Notamacropus eugenii: one gene and its partner. The protein of the gene in region 1 purifies or fractionates together with the protein of each later gene. This does not show direct contact. Links are inferred from orthologs where the notes say so. Each region holds a gene or a part of one and is shown in the gene's direction. Other genes may lie near its edges.

The links.
Region 2: the proteins of MRPS27 (region 1) and NOA1 purify together in Homo sapiens (co-immunoprecipitation; 3 studies listed by BioGRID and IntAct, counting the BioPlex papers as one, with this or other methods). This does not show direct contact. The link is inferred for Notamacropus eugenii from reciprocal best matches to the Homo sapiens genes MRPS27 and NOA1.

What each region holds. Positions count from the first base shown.
Region 1 is NC_092875.1:464,717,946-464,728,984, reverse strand, and holds the start of MRPS27 (small ribosomal subunit protein mS27), read left to right. Parts: upstream 1-6,765; 5' UTR 6,766-6,793; coding exon 6,794-6,869; intron 6,870-11,039. Other genes in the region: PTCD2 (pentatricopeptide repeat-containing protein 2, mitochondrial), read right to left, coding at 1,300-1,392, 6,502-6,607. UniProt on the Homo sapiens protein: RNA-binding component of the mitochondrial small ribosomal subunit (mt-SSU) that plays a role in mitochondrial protein synthesis. Stimulates mitochondrial mRNA translation of subunit components of the mitochondrial electron transport chain.
Region 2 is NC_092877.1:108,359,039-108,370,356, reverse strand, and holds the start of NOA1 (nitric oxide-associated protein 1), read left to right. Parts: upstream 1-6,577; 5' UTR 6,578-6,686; coding exon 6,687-7,989; intron 7,990-8,577; coding exon 8,578-8,742; intron 8,743-9,864; coding exon 9,865-10,067; intron 10,068-11,318. Other genes in the region: POLR2B (DNA-directed RNA polymerase II subunit RPB2), read right to left, coding at 6,045-6,063. UniProt on the Homo sapiens protein: Involved in regulation of mitochondrial protein translation and respiration. Plays a role in mitochondria-mediated cell death. May act as a scaffolding protein or stabilizer of respiratory chain supercomplexes. Binds GTP.

The sequences.
Region 1 (11,039 bases):
AGAGAAGGTATTTCAAGTAAAGAGAAAATAAAAACAAATATCCTACAGTACAAGCCAGTAAACACTTATTCAACACCGACTGTGTGCGCTACACTAGAGCAGATGCTGGGGATACCAAGACAAAACAACCACCCTGTTCCTCTCTTAAAAAACAAAACCAAAAACCAGAAAAACTTGCATTCCACTTTGCTGGCCAGTCATTTCTCAGTCATGTCTGACCCTTCACGGCCCCATTTAGGGTCTTCTTGGCAAGATATGGGAGTGGTTTGCCATTTCCTTCTCCAGCTCATTTCACAGATGAGAAAACTGAGGCAAACAGGGACAAGTGACTTGTTCAGAGTCAGATAGTTAAGTGTCTGAGGCCAGATTTGAACTCACAAAGATGAGTCTTCCTGACTCTAGGCCTAACACTTTATACACTGTACTATCTAGCTACCCCTACATTCTACTAGAGGGATGTCAAAATATTTTGGAAACACCCTGTTTCCCAAGAGTAAGGCCCAGCAAGCAGTCTATGCCCTGAGCTTGGCACAGCAACAATGTTTTGTGCTCTGGATGATCTCACCCTCTAGTAAAGTATATTGCTTTGACCAAGCACCAGGTGTTCACTGCCCCCTACTGCCCAGGGACCTGACAGCCATCCAGACCCTTGCTTGACTTGCTCACAATCGCTGTTCTTGTAACAGCTAAGTGAACCGAATCTGGTACTATACACCAACGTGAGACAATCAACTTAGAGACTGTTCCTAAAGGACCCAAGAATGCCTGCATTGTCCACCCATGAGTCTGCCATGGGAAACTGCTATTCAACACCTAAGAATGATTATGTCATAGTCCGGCCCGCTTACATATATAAGCATAGCCTGTACCCCAACATGTTAAGCCCTCCAACTTGGGGGGGTGGGGGTTTCCTTGTTTACAAGTCATTTTCCTCACTCTGAAATAAATTATACCACTTATCTGTGTCCTGACACACCTGCCTCTAGTCTGCTCTGTTCACTTCTCGCCATTCCCAGATTAGGGATCGGTCCAGTCAAAATTCTGTTGACAGGAACATGATAAAGAAATGGAGGCAGGAATGACCATGACATAGGGAGAGGACAGTAAGACCAGCTGGATCAAAGAAGTGGGTACACGTTGGGGAATAATGAAAAACGCTGAGGTAGAGGTAAAATAGGACCCAATTACAAGGGGCTTTGAAAGCACAGTGCCTGGCACATAGTAAGCATTACAAAAATGCCAGCTATCATCATCATCATTCTATGGGGAGAACGAGCTTAACTGAACCATCACCATTACCTTTTTTGCCATGAAATCGAGAGGAAACCGCCACCTTCATCTGCTGGAATTCTTGCAGTTTCACAACATCATCTCTAAGCAGATAGCGTTTTCCTAAAAGTTTGAGAGGAAAATAAAACAGCAAAGGAATTTGTGGGCAACATTGTTCATCGGCAATTGCACAGCATGTTACGTTTCCAAAGCTCTTCATCCATCATCTCCCCTACCTTTACAGCCAGGGTAAATACAAATTATTCTCATTTTACTGATGATGGAGCTGAGGTAAGTTATTCAGAGTTACAAAGTTTATTCAGTCACCAAATTGGCTTGAAGCTTGGTTTTCTGGTTCCTATCCAGCATTTTCCCACTTCCATTCCCCATGGTGAGTCCCTGAGAGTTACTTTCCTACTCCAGCTGGGCTAGCCATCTCCAGATGAGACCAAATCCCATGCAAACACGGATGAAAGAAAAAAGACACAAAACCTTCTGTGTGCATTTCTTTAGTGACAATCGCCAATAATTCTGGCAGATGGTTATTTGGAACAGACAATCTGTGGCAAGAAAAAATCAGGCATCTGAAAATAATGCTGTAAGCGATCAGAGAGAAGGGATCAATTGAGGCCAACTTCTGAACTTTTTTCCTGTTTTTTTCTTTTTTTGGTCTGTGTTTTCTTTTTCAGTCATGCAAAACATATTTCCACATTGTCTATGTTGCAAGAGAAAATAGACCAAAAAAAGAAAAAGAAAAAACAGGAAAAATAAAGTGAAAAATGTATGCTTCCATCTGTACTCAGACTTCCATCAGTTCCTTCTCTGGAGGTAGATAGCATTTTTCATCATAAATCCTTCAGAATTGTCTCACACGCTGAGAACAACTAAGTCATTCACAGTGGGTCAGTCATCGTACAGTACTGCCGTTACTGTACACGATGTCCTGCTCACCTCACTTTGCATCAGTTCATATAAGTCTTCCCAGGTTTTTCTGAAATACTGAATTACTAGCCTGCCTCAAGTGTCTCCTCATTCCTGTTTATCCTCCACTTAGTTATCAAAGTGATCTTCCTAAAGCAAAATCCTGACCAGATCACACCATGTTGATGTTCAGTTGTTTCACTCATCTCCAACTCTTTGTGACCTCGTTTGGGGTTTTCCTGGAAAAAAAAACTGGACTGGTTTATCATTTCCTTCTCCAGCTCATTTTGAGAAAATTGAGGCCATCGGGGTCAAGTGACTTGGCTAGAGTCACCCAGCTAGTAAGTGTCTGAGACCAGATTTGAAGGTATTTGAAGGAGGCTTACTGTCTACTGTACCACCTAGCTGCCCCAGCTCACAACACATACCCCATTCAATAAACTCAATTCCCTCTCACTTTCAGGATCAAATAAAACACTATGTCTGGTGTTCAAAACTCTTTATATCCTGGCCCCCTCCGCTTTTCCAATCTTCTCACACCCCTACTTCCTTCCAGGGATAATGTGATCCAGTGACACTGGCCTCTTGGCCAAGGCACTCCAATCTCTCCAAAAATCTCACTCCTGCAAGTGTTTTCATCCCACAGCTGGGCTGTTTTCACTCCTTATCCCTGCCTCTTGGGTTCCTTTAAGCCCCTCCTCCAAATTCACCTCTACCGACTTTCCCAGGCCCCCTTAATGCCAGTGTCTTCCCTCTGTTGATTATTTCCAGTCTATCCTGGATATATCTTGTTCATATATAGATGTTTCCATGGTGTCTCCCCTTTTAGGCTGTGAGCTGGGGGACAGGAATTGCTTCTGACTTTTTCTGTATCCTTAGTAAAGTGCTTGACACATAGTAGGTGTTTAATAACTGCTTCTAGACCTCTTCTCCTTTTTCCTTTCCATTTTTCTTCCGCCTCTCTCTTCCTGCTTTCCCTTTCTCTTTTTGCTTTCCTCCTTAGGAAGCAGTGGAAAGGGTTAACTGGTTGCCACAGGACCAGAGCTCAAATCTGGTTGTGCCATTTACCAAACATATGACATCTGATGAGTCACCTGACTTTTCAAGTACTATTTTCTCAAAAAAAAAAAAATTATAAATTGAAGGAATTGGAATAGTTGGCTTATGGGGTCTCTTTCAACTCTAGAGAACACTAGAGGTGACGATTCTTGTCATTCTCCATCTAGATTTTGTGATATGGTTTGGTGGGCTATTCACCAAACAGCCATATATAATCCTCAAAATTTGATCATTTCTAAACTGTACTGTCCAGTAATATAGTGTATGTGTAAAGCAAACACACAGGTATCTAACAGTCACCGAGAAAACACATCAGGCCTTAGGACCTTACCTCTGTTAAAAAAAAAAAATTACCATTTTAGTGTAATTTGACATTTTGCTTTCTCTGCTTAGGGAATTTTAAAATTTTAGGGACAATATGTAACAATAAGCCCATGATATTATGAGAATCAGACAAGCTAACTCTAAGCCCTGAGGTAGGATCACCTATGAGTCAGGTATGAGTACATCAATGTTGTCTTATTTTCACAAAAAGGGACTGTGAAAAAATATACTGTACGACATTCAATCTTCTCACCCAAAGACATAAATGAGCAGGAAGCCAAAAAGCAAACTGACTTTATGTACCTTATTCCTTCGTACCACTGGCTCTCTTCATCTCTTGCCCCAGCCAATTCCAAGAGCCTCGTAACTGGTCTCCCTAGATCAAGGCTCTTCCCTCTCCTGCTCCTAGCTAACCACCTCGCTGCCTTGAAAGGAGGATTTTGGGGGTCATTTTCAAGAGCTTGTGTGATGCTCATGGATTTGGAATTGAGACCATGGAGGTTACCTGCTCCAATTCCTCCTATCCACAAACGAGGACACTGAGGCTGAAACCCAGCATGGAGGGGACCTCCAAAGGCCCAGGGGCACATCCTCTACACCACAGCCAAAATAATTTTCCTAAACCAGTTGCAAATGTGTCTCCACCTGCCTAACCCTCTCTCTAACTCAATAAACTTTCCTTGTTTTGGCAGTATAGACCTTTACGAACCGACTTGTCTCCAACTTAGCTTCCCATGTCCTGTGGTACAAATAAACTGGTATTCTGGCTGTCCTTCATACGCAGCCTCTAGACACAGCACAGGCTACCCACGCTTGAAATGTATGTCCTCCTTACCTGCATTTCCTAGAAGCCTAGATTCCTTCATATCATTTTCTACAATAGGACTTTCTTAATCACCTCCATTGCTAGAGCACAACTCCCCAAATCACCGAGCCTTCATTTTGTATATATCTGATGAGCCTCTCCAAACCCAGCTATAATGGTCAGGAACCAGGCCTTTACTCCAAGCCTTCCAGGGTGGGTGGGTCAGAGCATGAGCTACAATGGCAGAACCTTTGAAAGGAGCCCAGGTTCCTTCTACAAGGTAATGAGGAAGAAGAACTGGGGACCAGTAGAGGTAGTCTGGTAAACTTGGTTGATACTTATCAGTTCTCTATTTGGGGTTCCTTGGATGGAGGAGGGGAGGGAGGTGTAATGAAGCCGCAAAACAGAGCAGAGGCGATGAGATCTTTTCTATAGAATTCTTAGATCTGTCTAGTGGCAAAATGTCATACGTAAGAAGGACTGGAAAGATCTTAGTCAAAAGAGAAGACTGTAGTGCAAACAAGCCCTAGACTTGGAGTTAGAAGATCTGGTTTTGAGTCCATGTCAAGTCAATTATTGGTGCAGTGGATCGAGGGCCACAGTCATGAGGATGAGAGTTCAAACCTGGCCTCTGACACTTTACTACCTGGGTGACCCTGGGCAAGTCACTTAATTCTGTTTGCCTCAGTATCCTCATTTGTAAAATGAGTTGGAGAAGGAAATGGCAAACCACTCCAGTATCTCTGCCAAGAAAACTCCAAACGGGGTCACCAGGAATTGGACACAACTAAACATCCTCATTTATTAGATATTCCCTTGGCAAATTGTCTAACCTGCAAAATGGGAAAAATACTTGTACTCTCCACCTCTACAGTTCCTTATACAAACACCAACAGTTAGGAAGCCAGGTGTACCAGAGAGAAAAATGGATGTAGAGTCCTAAGAGCTGACTGAATACAGCTGAGCTAGTTACCACAGGGTGATCTTGGGCAAGCTAGGGGTCTCTAGGCCTCCATTTCTCAGCTGGAAAATGAGCAGACGTTCTCTCCCATCCTTTCCTGCCATAAATCCTTAGAGGCCATCAAAGGTGGCATTGTTGGGGTTCTCCAGAGTCAGAGGACCTGTGGTCAAGTCCCAGTTCTGCCACACATCTGTGGATGATGCTGGGCATCTCCATAAGTCATTTACCTTCTCTTAGCCTGTTTCCTCATCTGCGGATGAAGGAGTTTGTACTAGACTTCTAAGGTCCGTCCCTTCCAACTTTAAATCAATAAGCACCACACAAGCTCTTGAAAATTCCCCGTCCCCCCATCCTCCTTTAACTAAGTGGATCTATCCAAGTTTTGTGACCCTGGACAAGCCACAACCTCAGTTTCTTCAGCTGTAAAAAGGGGATAATTAAACAGCACTCTCACGGTTGTTGTGAGGATCCAATGGGATATTTGCCAAGCGCTCAGTGTATATGTGTGTGTACCTATATATACGTATTATATGTATACATCCTCCTTTCCCTCCACGTGGAAAAAAAATGTTACCATAGCCTATGTATACAAGTTCCCCCTAGAAAAGGTCCATGGGGTCACTAGAGGTGGTTTACCTAACTCAAGGATTTGCATCTTTATCAATCAATTAACATGAAGTACCTACTAAGTGCCAGGGGCTTAGGTGTTAAGCAAGCGCCAGGATACAAAAAAGGGCAAAAAAACTTCCCCTGCCCTCAAAGAGCTTACAACTTCACGGGGGGAGATGGTATGCAAACAAACATATACGAAGCAAACTATATTTTGCCATCCGTCCTTGGGCTCATAGATTTCTCCGGATTTAAAAGGGGGCCCTCGGAGCCTTGCCCAGACCCGTCAGGGCACCTCAGGGCACCACCCCCCCGGGGCCTAGGAGTCACTTCGAGACCGATCTGGGGCTGCAGCAAACGCCCGGGCACTTTCCGGGCCTTCCTGGGAGGACTCCGGCCGTTCAGAGAGGTTCGATCGGCGTCCGCACCTCGCGGGGAGGGGGCGGGGGACAGGAGGTTACTTTGTAACAAGTGTCGGCCCCAACTCCGCTCTACCCCAGGCCCAACCCTCCCGCGTCCCGAGGACAGAAGCCGCGCGCAGAGCCGCGGGTACCTCCGAGGGCCCAGCCGGGCGCGAGCCCCAGCAGCACGCCGCGGGTCGCGGAACGGGGCCCGGTGGCCAGCAGGATTCTATTCGAACTTCGAGACACAGCGGCCATTCTGACGCCACCCCCACGCTCTCCTCCGGACCGTACCAAGTGCAGGAAGTAGGGAGGAGCTGCCGCCTCCGAGCCACACCCACCCTCTTCTCCCTCGGCACCTCTGGAGGGCCGGAGGACGTAGAGGAAGAGACAGGAAAACCCTACGGTAGGGCTCCTGCGCTGGCCTTATACTTGGTACGTTCCATGATGGCGGCGCCCGTAGTGCGGCACGGGTGGCTCCTGGCCCGGAATGTGGCTCGGTCTCAGTGTTTCCTGGCAGGTTGGTGGTGGCTATTTCCTCGGCGGGGGGTGGTTGCTGCCTTTAGGCCTCCCCGAGGGCCAACTGCGGAGCTGGCACGAGGAGAGGTTGGGCCAGGAGAGCAGGAGGAGGCGAGGTTGGGGTGCCAGAAGAGGTGTTTGGGCAGTGTGCGTGTGTGCGTGTCATGGGGGAATGTCTCCGAGCCCCCTCCCCCGACACAGTGAAATTCACCAGGTGCGCTGCTCCGGGAGGACTCCGCAGCCCAGGCTGCGCTGGGAGCCAGCTGCACTGAACTGCTTAAATGTCTTAGTGTGCTTTCCTGGAGACGTTACATTAACCTTGGGTGGATCATCGTCATGGCCCCCTGCCCAGGTAGCCGTTTACCTGGCTTGCTTGGACCGCCCTTTTATCCTCTCTTTGATTTCTGTTTTTAAAACCCGGAGTTTCCGCCTTTATGAGAAGGGGGCGGAGTATTAATCATCAATCCTGCGGTACCTGACCTTGGCCAAGCCTTCTCCTTGACCTTTCCTCGATACAATGTTTCTGCCTGTGCCAGACGAATCACAGTTACATTAGTATCATCATTTGGAGAGGTGTAATGGACAGAGGAAGGCTAGAATAAACCATTTACGTGTCCACATTTTTTTTTTGTAAGTAATTAGGCAGCTTAAATTTGTAACAAATTTAGTCCTCATGTCATCCTTATCAGAACGTCTGATTTAGGATGGAAACCATCCATTTCATTTTCTCTCAGTGTCATCCAATATCAGTTGACCTCTCCCTTTCCTTTCCACTCTGGGAAGAGCTATTTTGTCCTAGTTTAGAATTCTAGAATAAACTGAAGTTCGTTGAGGATCCAGCACATAGAGTTATAGCTTTATCAGAAGGGTGCTGGGTAACCCCTTCTTAACTCCAGTGCTTTCCTTTTTTTAATTATTTCCTATTTATGGAGAGTTTCCAGCTGACAGAATTCAAACAAAGAAAACTAAAAATGGTATTTGAAGTTCCATCTCAAGTCTACTCATCTAACTACTTTATCCTTTCACCTGACATCCTACCCTATACCCCAGGTAAATTCTCTGGTGGTTTTTGCTGCAGTATCTTAGGGCCTTTTTTATACCCACAAAATATTTGCTAGCAGTCATCATTAAACATTTAATGAAGTTATTCATTCATTCATTCAATAAACATTAAGTGCCTATTATGCCTTCAGTGGACATATTATGGCTCTAAGCATAGTAATTCATATGTTCTTATGTTAATAATACATTAGTGTTCTATTGGCATCTCACATTTAGTGTCCAAAACAGCACCTATTATCTTTCCCCTAAAACTATCCATCTTCACTATATCGATTAAGGATATCACTGTCATCAGTCATCCCAGTACAAAACCTGGGAGTCACCTTTGACTCCTAAATCTCTCTCTGTCTGTCTTATCAGTGGCTAAAATTTGACCTCCTCATCATCTCTAGCATTGGTCCCTTTCTATCTCCTCCCATTACAACCACCTCAGTTCTGGCCCTCTTCAGCTGTAGCCTGGACAATTATAGTAATCTCCTAATGGATCTCCCTGGATCCATTTTGTTCCCTCTCCACCCAACTGCTGAATTGATGTTTCTAAAGTGTAGATCTGAGCATTATTTCATTTCTTTTCTCAGTAATAAGCTTCAGTGGCTATCCATTGCCATTTGAATAAAATACATACTTCTCTGTTTGGCATTAAAAGCCCTTCATGGCTCCAGCCCTTATTTCCAAGTTGCTCACTCTTAATATGCACTACTCTTCCTCACTCTGTATGTGCCAACCAAACCAGCCAACTTGCTGTTCTCTGTATATGACAGATACAAAATTTCATATCCTGCCTCTGTGACTTTGTACAAGTTGCCCTTCTTGCCTGGTATTCTTTCCTCCATAACCTCTATGTCTTAGAACCCCTAGCTCTTTCCAGTGCTTTCCTCGTTATTTCCTAATTTTCCCAGTTATTAGTGTCTTCTACCAAATATCTGTGTATTTTGCTTCGGTGTTATATGTACTTCCCTGTAAATGTGTGGCATCCTCCTGGTAGAGCAGCAGCTCCTTGAGGGTAGGGACTTTGACACTTTTATATTCGTATCCCCAGCTCGGTGCCTGGAGGAGAGCAGTTGCTTAATAAATGCTAATTGATTGTTCTTAAGATATCTTCTGGTCTGTTCTTTACTGGCTAGCAGAATCATAGACTCTCAGAATAAGATGAAATCTCAAAAGGTCATCTAATGCAGTCCATGCCTGCACAGGAATTTCTGCTGTAATATCCTCAACCAAGTTTTCATTCATTTTCTGCTTGATGACCTCCAGTGAAGGGAATTCATCAGCCCATAAGTCAATCTGTTCCATTTTTGGATAATCATTAGTCAGTTTTTCTTTCCAGCCTAAGCCTGCCTCTGAACACTTTATTCCTTGTTCCTAGTTTTGGCCCTGGATCTAAGTGAAACAAACACAACCTCTCTTCTATAGGATGGCCCTTCAAATGCTTGAAAACAGTCCTCATGTTTCCTTCTAAGTCTTCTGTTCCTTCCAGCCAGCATTCTTCTCACCCTCGCTGCCATCCTGTGGACTCAACTCTCGCTTACTAATGCCATTTCCATGTGTACCATACTCCAGAGGCAGACTTTTTTGTTTTCAATACTGTTTTTTCCCCCAATTACATGACAAGACAATTTTTTAGTATTCATTTTTACAAGATTTGGAGTTCCAAAATTTTTTCCCTCCCTTCCCCATTCGAGGCAGTCTTAACATAATAGAGTTCAATAGGAGCATCATCTCCTTTGTTCCAGACACTTATATTAATATGTCCCAAAATCAAACTAGCTTTTTGGGGCTGTTACATCCTACCATTGACTCATTTTGAACCTATGGTCCAGTACAACTCCTGCATTGGAACTATTCCAAAAAGATGAGAATGTATTCTATTTTTTTTACATTTATTAAGATTTTTATTTATCATGAAACATATTAATGTTTTAAAAATTACTAAGTGGTAAGAGTTTTAAAACTCTTTTTCAAGTTTTCTTACTGTTTACATTTAGTAATGACTAAAAACGTAGTAAAGAGATATGACTCTTATACCTCTCAGATTAAAGACAGACTGGTTGGTTGCTTTGGGGCATGTGACCAATAAGAAAGAATACACGATGACAACCCACTCATCAAGTTAGGAGAAGAGCACAGTAGTGACTAGTGGGAGTAAGGTTAAGTGGGACATAGGCAAAACATTTGTTTGATCTTTACATTCTACATTTTTGCCAGCTACCCAGAATCCAATGTATTCCATTTTTAAGACCTTTAGAAAAAAGAAAACTCCTTCCCTTTCCAGTGTTTATCATTTGCTACTGTCAGAAATTTCTTCTATTTGTCAAACTTAAATTACTCCTTAAATTTTTGTCTTTCCTTTATATGGAGTGGAAAACAACTGGTTACGGTCCTTTTATGTTTGCAATCCTTTCGTATCCCATGTAGATTATTAAATCATTTCCCTTCTGTCAAGTTAATAACCCCCGTTTATATAGTTCTTAGGAGGCCATGCGCACCTCATCAACCACTTCTGCCTATGGATTGGGTATGTATAGCTCCAATTCACCAATTTTGTCCTTAGGTTGATTTTTGGAACCCATGTACAAGACTTTACATTTTATCCCCATTATGTTTCATCTTTACTCATTTTGATCCCAAACTGTCCTGTTGAGAATTTTTTGGAGTGTGTCTCTGTCCACTGTTAGCTACTAGTGTTGTTCATTCATTTCAGTCATGCCTGACTCTGTGACCCTATGTGGGGTTTTCTTGGCAAGGATGGAGGAGTAGTTTGCCATTTTCTTCTCCAGCTCATTTTACAGATAAGGAACTGAGGCAAACAGGGTGAAGTGACTTGCTCAGGGTCACATAGCTAGTAAATATCTGAGACTGGATTTGAACTCAGGTCCTCCTGATGCCAGGCCCAGTGCTCTATCGACTGTGCTAATGGCTGGCTGCCATTGCCTACCACTAGCTTTCAGCTTTGTGTTACCCAAAAGTGTGATAGCTCTGCCCTCTGTGCCTTTATCCAAATCACTGATAAATATGTTGAACCCCACAGGGCCAGGTACAGATCTCTGAGGCACTCCGCTAGAGATTTGGCATCAAACCATTAATGACTTTTGGAGTTCCAACTATTTAA
Region 2 (11,318 bases), on another chromosome or scaffold:
AAAATGCTATCCACTTCCAGAGAGAGAAGTGATGAACTCTAAATGCAAACTGATGTATAATTTTCTCATTTTCCTTATTTTTCTTGCTTTTGTGAAAAATGGCTGATATGGAAATCCTTTGCAGAATTTTACATGTATAACTGATTACATACTGCTTGACTTCTCACTGGGTGGGGGAGGGGACAGGCAGGAGAGAATTTGGAACTCAAAAGTTTAAAGAGTGCTAAATTGGGGGAGGGGACCTAAACTTTTTTTCTTGATTTTCTAAGCCAATTCCCTTAATAAAACAACATGCATGCACTCTCACACTCATATCATATACAAATAATCCTCAACTCACTAAAGGTTTGTGTTTTTAACATTCATTTATAAATTAATCAAGAATGAAATGAAAGTAGCCAAGGACTTGCTTCCTACCCAAAAATTATATGTCTATATATTATGAACATTTCTTCAGGAAGACAACCGTACAATGCTGGATGTAGAAAACGTTACATGGCAACATAACAATATGACAGGAATCAATCAACATGTAATTACTGATAACTACTACTAATTACTCTATGTCAGGTACTGTGCTAAGCACCGGGGATACAAAGATCAAGAAAACAGTCCTTATGCACCAAGAAACTTGGAGGACAGGGATTGTCTTTTGCCTCTTTTTGTATCCAGAACTTACCACAGGGTACATAGTAGGTACTTTACAAATGTTTTATGGTTTACTGAATGACCTTCTGATGGAGGAGACAACATAAACAAATATAAGTATACACCAAAAATAAGACATTTCATTAGACAAAGGAGAAAAATTAGGAGAGGTTTCATGTAGGAGCTAGCATCGAAGGTCTGGTTTTGTAGAAACTAGGGCTTCTAAGAGGGAAAGGTGAGGAGAGAGTGTATTTCAGGCATAGGAGACAGTCTGTACATGGCACAAGTATGGCAGATGGAATACTTTGTGAGGAACAGCAAAAAAGCCAGCCTGGCTAGACTGGAAAGAACTGTGGCTACATAAAGACTAATTCTTATATAAACTAATTCTAAAATTACTACTGTATCTACAGTCAGACCATTAAATGATTAGAAGATCACAATAAATATTAACTTAAAAGGATAAAGATGAGAAAACACTGTACCATTATAGCAACTTCAACCTGACCTAAACAAACAAGCCTATGTCAAAGTGTCATGAATTAGGCAGTCCAAAAGAGCCCAGAAAGCAGCTGATCCAAGGTAGGAAGGATGAGGTGTTGCAATTACACAGCCTCTAAAAACAACACCAGTTTAACTGAGTACAAACTCATCTGTAAGACATTATGGCGTACAAATGCTATGAGCAGTATCACTCACAAAACAGCGTAAAGAAAACGAGCCTTCAGAAAACATCTCAACTTCCAAGATGCAGCAATACTAAACGGTCCTAAAGCAATGTCCCTCTCTGATCTTTGTGTAGAAGGCACTGTGGCTACAAAGCCAAACAGCCCACGGTCTCAAATCAACTTGGTATACATGTTGCCTGTGGAAATACACAGACACCAAAGATAGAGTGCTGAGGTTAAGGAGCAGCAAGCAGATCTGTTTTGATAGAATACAGCATCTTGTTGAAGAATGAAATAGTACTGAAAAAGAAGGTAAGATCCAGATAGTAAATGTTTTACACAGCAGACTAAAGTTTGTATTTTGTCTTAGAGACAACAGGGAACCACAAAAACTTTTTGAGCAGAGGACTGAAATGATTAGATTTATAAAGACGATTTTGTTAAGTTAGTTATATAGAGGGATGATGGGAGAAACTGGGAAAAGAGAAACTAATTTGGAAGCAATTGCAAAAGTGTAGTTAGGACCTATGTGTTTTTTGGCAAGTCACTTAACTTTTCTGAGTCTCAGTTTCCTCATTTGTAAAAATAAAGGACTTGGACCAGATGACCTTGAAGAGGCCCTTCCAGCTCTATGATATTATGATTTCCAAAACACAAAATGAAGCAGAAATGCAGCCATTTTTTAACTTCGACAACAGTGGAATATGATATTTAAACCCACCACATTAATACTCAATGTAGTATTTGAATAAGTGGTAATGATACTTTAAAAAAAGGTTAAGTCAGGAAAACGTGCTAGACTTAATTTCATATACAAAAGAAATCTGTGCTGATTCTTTATCTCTTGGAAAAAAACATTCAAAAAGAATGAAAAACATTACAATGATTACACAACCTGAAGAAAAGTTTTAAAGATAACATCAATCATTGTGTGAAAATAGTATATACTTTCCTGAATGAAAAGTTCTCATGCAAAACATTATTTTCTACAGTACACCTTTAATGTTACACAATTCAGATTACCTTTTCCATTACATCTTTAAGGTCATACAACTAATGAAAAAGTGTAGAAAACTTTAAGGCTCTATTGTGTTACTGATTTAAAAGAAAATTTTGCCTAAGTTATACCAAAGGTAGCACAAAGGCCCTCCTCAGAAAGGTGTCTCCCATGTGTATATTAAATCACACATGAATATACGATCAATGTAACTAAGGATAACATTACTCAATAAGCCACTAAATGGCAAAATCAAATGAAGTACTGAAAATCAAGAAAATCAAACTGATTCACTTTTGTAATTGATTTCATTCTGTATCACTACCAACATTTTGTGTAACTACCTAAGCCACATTTCATTTGAGTCTGAGTTAAGTTTGGAAGTTCAGCTTTCCTATAAATCACTCACTATCTCTGAGTTAAGGTTAGAAGTTCAGCTTTCCTGCTAATCAAATCACTGTTCTATTCTTATGTCAAGGATAATAATTATCTTTGAAGGATGAAGGTGGATGCCAGGGAGTCTGGTCTATTACCTCTATAGCACTGGCTGTCCTTCAAAAAAGTCTGGTTTGTTATCACTGTGAAACCAATTAGCCATACAAGTGGACACCACCAATGAACTTTCCTTAGCAACGCTATGAAAGGAAGGGTTTTTGCATTCCAAATTTACAGCATTTAACATTGTTTTCACTATGATGTTGCCAGTCTTCTAGTTTTTGGAGGCTCCTCCTTTTGTCCATAAAAATTTTATCAGCCCTCGTTCAAGGTCTTAGCTAACTGAAAAGGTTGAGCCTTTGTTTACTGGAAAATTCACGCTTTGCTAATAAGTTGAGTGTGCTTGGTGCTTTGTGGCTCAGTTTACCTTAATTTTAATCAAGAAAGTATAACATAAGGAGACATGTTCGCCTAACATGCTCAAAAGTATCACGAAAGATGTCTTGCAGAGTGAAAATATAAAGATTTCATGTTAATGACAACGTTATCCCAGAGGTGTGAGGAGGAATGGTGATTAGGATAGGGAGAAAGACTAGTAAAAAAAAAAACCAAAAACTAGCTTTAAATTTCAAATCAATAATACTAGGGCTTCTGGGAAGGGTATGTAAAATGACTCCCTAATCAATCAATTCACAATTCCTGTGACTCCCTTCCATGGACATCAGTCCCCTATATGTGTTATCATCCCCTATTAGAATATAAGACCAGTAACTACAGGGTCTTTCTCAGATTTTTGAATTTATATTCACAGATCTTGCCACAGTATTAGCACACATTAAACACTAAATGCTTTTTCATTAATCAAAGTTTTGTGGTAAGATGGCCTTGCTATCTATCCTGCTGCTACATCTTCCGAACTCCTTGGTGACTCTAATCTGACCTGCTGGAGCAGCCTAAGCACCCCAGGCTTTGCCATCATCCATCTGCTGATGCACCTTTGGGACTTCTTGGCCCTTCCAATCACCCCAAAGCTGAATTTGCAGATGTGTTATCTACCCCAAATAAAGTTTAAATTCCTTGAGAACAGGGTCTGCCTCATTATTTCTATCTATATCCCCAATTCTTAAGATATAACAATTCCTTTTTTCTTCTTTCATGCATTTGCAAAATACCAAGAAGGGAGAATGAGGGTAGGTAAGCACAATGGTAACAAAGCTAAATGATGAGATCAGATGAGAAAGAACTGGAAAAGAAATTAATACCTATCAACCGAGGAATGGCTAAAAAATTACACACATGAAGAGAACAAAATGACTGAACCTTTTATAAAAGACAAAATACAAATTCAGAGGATGGGAAGACATGTAAAATGGCGTTGTGTGCATCAAGCAGAACCAGGAAAACAAAGTACAGCACTGTGAAAATACAAAAAGGACAAAAAAACCTCAAGTGAATGTTGTTCAAGAATGATGTTCCTAAAAATATTTGAGCAATTTTCTCTGATAATGGTCTCATTTCTCAAATATATAGAGAACTGAATCAAATCTACAAGAACATAAGTCATTCCCCATTTGATAAATGGTCGAAGGATATGAACAGGCAGTTTTCAGATGAAGAAATCAAAGCTATCGATAGTCACACAAAAGAAGTGCTCTAAATCACTGTTAACTAGAGAAAGGCAAATTAAAACTCTTGAGATACTGGTTCACATCTATCAGATTAGTTAATATGACAGAAAAGGAAAATGACAAAATGCTGGTAGGGAGGTCAGAAAACTGGGACACCGCTGCACTGCTGGTGGCATCGTGAACTTTTTCAAACATTCTGGAAAGCAATTTGGAACTATGCCCAAAGGGTCATAAAACTGTGCATATCTTTTGACCCAGTAATAGATCTACTAGGTTTGCATACCAAAGATGTTATTTTTAATAATGGAAAAGGACATATATGTACAAAAACACTTACAGCAGCTCTTTTTATGGTGGCAAAGAATTGGAAATCGAGGGGTTACCCCACAACTGAGGAATGGTTGAACAAGCTGTGGTATATGAATGTGATGGAATATTGTACTGCAATAAACGATGTGCAGAATGCTTTCAGAAAAACTTGGACTTATGAGAACTGATGGAAAGCGGATGAAGTGAGCAAAACCAGAACTCTGTACACAGTAACAGCAATACTGAATGATGATAAATCGTGAATGGCTTAGCTATTCCCATCAATTTAAAAATCCAAGACAATTCTGAAGGACTTTGGATGAAAAATCCTATCCACCTCCAGAGAAAGAACTGAGTCTGAAAGCAGACTGAAATACATTATTTTTTACTTTATTTTTTTGTGGGGAGGGGAGGTCTGTATTTTCTTTCATTACATAAATGTTATGAAAATGTTTTGCATTACTGTACATAACACATACATACATTTCAAACATAACCACATATAACACATAGAGGTTAAACCTATATAACCTATATCAAACTGCTTGCTGTCTTGGGGAGGGGAGAGGAGTGGGAGGGAGAGAATTTGAAACTCCAAATCTTAAAAACTAATGTTAAAAATTTTACATGTAATTGGGGGAAAATTTTTTTTTAAAACGCATGATGTTCCTAGTTCTGTAGACTTCTATCTGGAAGGAACGTTAGAATCCATCTTATCCTACCCCTTCATTTTACAGAAAAGGCAACTTAATATAGAAACGTGAGAAGACCCTAAAAAGAGGTGAAAAAATTCACCTATTTCCTTCAATTAGTGGGGAACTAGGGGTGGAGAATTCTGTCTATACAGTCAAACAAAGCGTTCGATCTGCTGAATCGCTTTTTAAAACCTGTTACAAGGAATGTCTCGCTGGGTAACGAAGGGATGGGACGATACCCAGGGACGAATGTAAAGTTAAAAAAAAAAAAGGAATTCATTAATAAAATTAAGATGACAACTAAAAACGCGAGGGAGGAGCAGACAGGTTAGGAAACCTTAGGCTGGGCTCTAGGGTAACGACACCTAAGGACCATCATTCAGGGACGAATGCAAAGTAAAACAAAGATGCATTAATAAAATCAAAGTGACCACTAAAGGCAAAACGGGAGGGTGCGTCACGTTAGGAGACACGAGGCTGGCCTCTCGCGTAACAGACCCACAAGCACCAGGACCGCCAGCTCTATTCACTAAGTATCATGGACCTCAGGGCTGCCCGGGCCTCAACGTTACAAGTGGCATCCTGGAGAAGGTGGGTAACTAAAAGAATACAAAACACCCCTCCTCGGCCCTGTCCGGGAGGAGCTCTTAACTGGGCCTCTTACCCTCGTCCGCGTCGTACATCTTGACAAATAATTCTCAATATTCCTCCCAAATTAAGGAACAGAAAAGAGCAGACGACGCAGCCACAGACCAGCAAACTCGAGAGAGCTTGAGTTTCCGGCGTTCCCGGCACTCTTTGCGGCTCGATCCAGCTCCTCAGCTCCGAAACCTTCCGGTTCCCGCTCCGACTTCCGCTCAGCCAGAGGTCGAGCGCGCCGCGTCCTGTGGTGGCGCTGAGCAGAGTGGGCGGGCCGTTTCGCCTTCCCACTGCGCATGCGGCCTGCGGAGGAGGCGGGGCTACGTAGGGGCTGGCTTGCGCGCGGGCTGGATTCGCGCCTCCAGCAACCTAGCGTGCTTTAGATGGAAAGAATGTATCTAGGTCTGCCGAGGTGTCTGGGGGCAGGAGGCCTAAAGCCGGGAGGAAAGTGACTTTAGGCCTGTTGCTTCAGCAGGAAGGAATGAGAGATTGAAATGCTAATGCTTAGGTGGCGATATTGTAAGCGCTTTGGGGACCTGAGGATAGAAGCGAAAAACCACGAATTTAACTTAACCTGGAACCTACATTGATCCATTTTACATGCGCTTTTATGAATTTTTTATTCTAATTTTTGCTTTTAATTTTATTAAATTTTACCCCTACGTTCATGGCCAGCCATGATTTTCAAACTGAAGAAAGGTTAATACGTGAGAGCGCCTTTTCCCCAGCGGAGGACGGAGGGGGGCGATCAGTCCCTCCCGAGCCACCGTACGGGGCGGTGTCGCGGCCACGTGCCCGCCCCGCCCCTCCCGGCGCCTCCGTCCCCATGCTTCCCGGGAGCTGCTCGTGCCGGCTGCTGCGCCTGTGGCGCCGAGGGGCCGCGCCTCTCTTCACGTGCCATGGCGCGCCCGGGTCGCGGCCCCCCGCGGGCCGGCCGGCCGCCTCCTCTGTCTTCTCCGCGGTGCGGCGGCAGCAGGACCAGGAAGCGAGAAGAGGAAGGGGGGTGCCGGCCGCGGGGACGATGGTGGACCCGAGCCGGCTGGAGGAGACCTTCGTGTTCCCGGAGTACGTCCCCGAGGCGGACCCCGACGTCGAGCCGTCCGTGTCGGCCGAACTGCGGCGGAGGCAGGAGGAGGAGGAGCGGGAGCAGCTGCTGCGGGACGAGCGGCGGCTGGCGCAGCAGCGGAAGAAGACGCGGGAGAAGGGGCTGCGCCCGGTGTTCGGGAGCCCCGACCCCGCGGTGCCGGCCAGCGGCGTGAGCTGCTCGGGCTGCGGGGCGGAGCTGCACTGCCAGGACCCCGCCGTGCCGGGCTACCTGCCCAGCGAGAAGTACCGCAGCCTGGAGGCGCGGGCCGAGGCGGGCGGGCTGGCCCGGGCCGTGTGTCAGCGCTGCTGGCTCCTGGTGCACCACCAGCGGGCCCTGCGGGTGCGCGTGAGCCGGGAGCGCTACCGAGAGCTGGTGCACGCCGCGCTGCGGCGCCCGGGGCCGGCCCTCGTGCTCTACGTGGTGGACGTGCTCGACCTGCCCGACCCCCTGCTGCCGGACCTGCCCGCACTGCTCGGGCCCAAGCAGCTGATCGTGCTGGGCAACAAGGTGGACCTGCTGCCCGCCGACGGCCCGGGCTACCTGCGGAGGCTCCGGGAGCGTCTGTGGGACGAATGCGCCCGAGCCGGCCTGCAGCCGGCGCCCAGGAAGGCGAAGAGGACGGGGGCCGGGGCTCCGGGGGCCGGGCCGGCCAGGCCGGGCTGTGTGGTCCAGGACGTGCTGCTTCTCAGCGCCAAGACGGGCTACGGGGTGGAGGAGATGATCTCGGCGCTGCAGCGCTCCTGGCGCTACCGGGGCGACGTCTACCTGGTGGGCTCCACCAACGCCGGCAAGTCCACGCTCTTCAACGCGCTCCTGCACTCGGACTACTGCATCGCCAAGGGCGCCGACGCCATCGACCGGGCCACCATCTCCCCCTGGCCGGGTGAGCCCCGGCGGGAAGCCTCCCGCACGCTCTGCCCCCCCGCTCGGCCTCCATGTCCTTGCTTTGTGTGTGTGCACGTTGTCTTCCCCGTCAGACTGAGCTCCCGGAGCGCGGACGCCGTCTCTTGCCTCTTTGTTACCCCTAGCTCCTAGCACGGTGCCTGACACGCAGCCTAAGCTTATTGAACGTTGGTTGAAGCGAATTGAAGCTTCCTCCCCACCCCCATCCCGCCCTTGCTGTCCAGGTGCTTCCTCGTCTGCCCACGAGGAGGTGTCCGGGACCATCCTGGTGAACTCCAGCTTTTCTCCGCTCAACCCCTTTTGGGTCCTGGGGTCCTTACTCCTCTTTAAGGTTTCTTGACTGGTTTCATGCATCCCCACGAGGCAAGACAGAGCCCATGTTTTCAGGGTCTTAATGTACCCTCCCTGTCTTCCCTAGCCAGTATGACGAATGCTTGGAGTCACCAAGCACTGGGAAAAGGGAAGACAGGCAGCTTTTTGTTTCTGTTTTTATTAAGACTGCACGAAAATACATTGCATTTTATTTTCTTCATCACAGTTAAAATTTACACGTGCTTTGATCTTTCAGGAACAACCTTAAATCTCCTGAAATTTCCTATTAGCAACCCTACTCCTTACAGAATGTTTGAAAGGAACAGGAGACTTAAAGAAGAAGCAGCTAAAAGTGAAGATGACCTTACTGAGCAAGAGCAGAAGCATCTTAGTCAGATGAAAAAGCAGGGTTATTTAGTCGGTGAGTACCCGAACAGACCGTGGACTAACCACCTTTCAGATCCTGTGCCCTGGAACATGAAATCAGAACCCAGGATGATCCGGACAACCTCTACCTATTCTGAGACCCAGTGCTGTAGTTAAAACTACTGTTTAAAAGCGCACCTGGGCAAGACATTCAGAAAAACAGGAGAATTTGTTTCTGGTTTCTTGAGGGGAGTGGGCGTGGCATAGTAGGGTTGTCAGTTGAATCAGTTGCCTTGCCAAGAAGTAAAAATTGTCATTTCCAGGTTGTGCCCAAATACTGACTCAGATTCCTTTTCCTGCTATCGGTGATGCTGCCAAGTTATGCTGAGAGCTGTTGTGTTTCTGATCCTTCATTGCTACTCAGTCTCAGTTTGAATTCTTATATATGCAACTGCACATAAAATATTAATGTTTATGCTGACTTCTCAATTCCTTTAACGCTTTCCTCTGCCACCTACTGACTCTGGATGTCCCTTCCAGCTCTAAATCTGTGATTCTATGCTAAATTCATTTATCATCCTGTAGTACTGATGCCATATGCTGCCAAACTCCTGCATAGTACTATTTTCTATCTAGAGCTAAAAAGGGATTTAGTCTGACCTCCTCATTTTACAGATGAAGAAAAATAGATCCAGGGAAGAGATTAAATGGCTTGCCCTAAAGTATCCACCTACCTGTCATTATTTCTGTGACTTAGTCCCTGTGTCTGTGTGTTCGTCCTTTGTTGCCGAAGAAGACCGTGCCATCAGAGAAATAATGACATGACTTGCACTTGACTTTGTTTTGAATGAAGGAGGGCTGTGCAGGTCACCAGCCTCACTTTTCCTCCAGAGCCATATGAATCCAGTGACCAGACATTCATCAGGATGACTGGAGATGACCCAGGATGAGGCAATTAGGGTTAAGTGACTTGCCCAAAGTCACAGCTAGTGAGTGTCAAGTGTCTGAGGTGAGATTTGAACTCAGGTCGTCCTGACACCTGCACTGGTGCTCAATCGGCTGCACCACCTAGCTGCCCCTTGTCCCTTTGTAGAAACTGAATGGAATGCACATGTATAAAAGGTAAAAATTCAAACATTTTAAAGATCAATAACTTCAAACTACTCTCTTGTTGTAGGAAGAGTTGGAAAAACATTCTGTTATTCAAAAAATGATGAACCTACTTTCGAGTTTGATGCTGATTCACTCGCATTTGACATGGAGAATGAGCCTCCGAGAATAATACACGATGCACCCACTATGCATGTTGAATTGACACCTCAAGAAGTGAAAGATGTTCACTGGTTTTATGATACCCCTGGAATTGTAAAAGAAAATTGCGTATGTATTTTGTTTCATTTAGAAGGGGTCAAAAACAGTGAGACTTCTGTCTAAGCTAGCAAAAATGAATTTGAGGGAAAATGTTGGGCAAAAAACCCTTACCTTTGGACTTAGTTCCACCAGGTATTATAGAATATGCAAATGTGGTTTTCTCCCCACAGGCAAGTAACTCTGAACCTGGAATTCCCAGTGAACATCTCACTTATACATTTAGGGGGATGGTGTGAGTCAAGGGGAGGATATATATTATATATACATATTATATATTATGTTTTCCCTTTTTGGAAGGAAAACTAGGCAGAAATAGCGCTAAATAATATCAAATATTTGATGGTGTTGGATGTCAGCATAAAATAAAAAAGTAATCATTGTATATCGATATGGGAGGGGGTGTGTAGAGAGAATTGGTAGAAAGACTATAGCAACTACTATGTGTCAAACACTGGTAAACCCCTTAAAAAATATTCTTTCATTTGATCCTCACAACAAGGTGGTAAGGTAGGTACTGTTATTATCCCCATTTTACAGTTGAAGAAACTAAGTTAAAGGTTAAGAGACTTGCTGAGAGTCACTTGGCTAGTAAATGTCTGAGGACAGATTTGAACTCTTCCTGACTCCGAAGCCCAGTGTTCTATCTACCAAGCCACCTAGCTGTATAGATTTTCATTATGTACCAGATAGTGATGTAAATCATCCTTTTATCTGTGAATCCATAACTTGCGCCATGAAGTTAGTTGGTAATGGCAGAATGAATTTATTTTTGTTTATCAAGTCTGTCAAGATGTTTGACTTTAAGTCATGGAATTCTAAAGCTGAAAGGGGCTTTTAGAGGTAAGAGAGTCTCAGCTTCAGAAACTCAGTGGATTATCTCTCCCTACTTTCACTTTGACACTGCCCTTCAACTCTCCCTTCCCTACTTCCCACCTCCCCTCCCCTATCAGTCTAGGAAACATTTCCTGGGAAATGACCATCATGCGAGCTAGCTTTTAAAATGTTAAATTTGTGGGGGAGGGGGGGTTAATGATGATGCATTCTTTCAGTTATTAAAGGACTACTCTGTTTAGAGCACTCTACTAGGTAGTGTAATTGCTACTAGAATAGCTTATGTTGAGCATTTTAAGGATTACAAAGTGCTTTGTTCACCATTTTGTGAGGTCATTTCAAACCTGCACTATAAAATAGGATCAGATTTTACGTGATTTACATTTTGGACTCACCAGTGGTTTACAAACTGTGTTCTGAGAACCACCA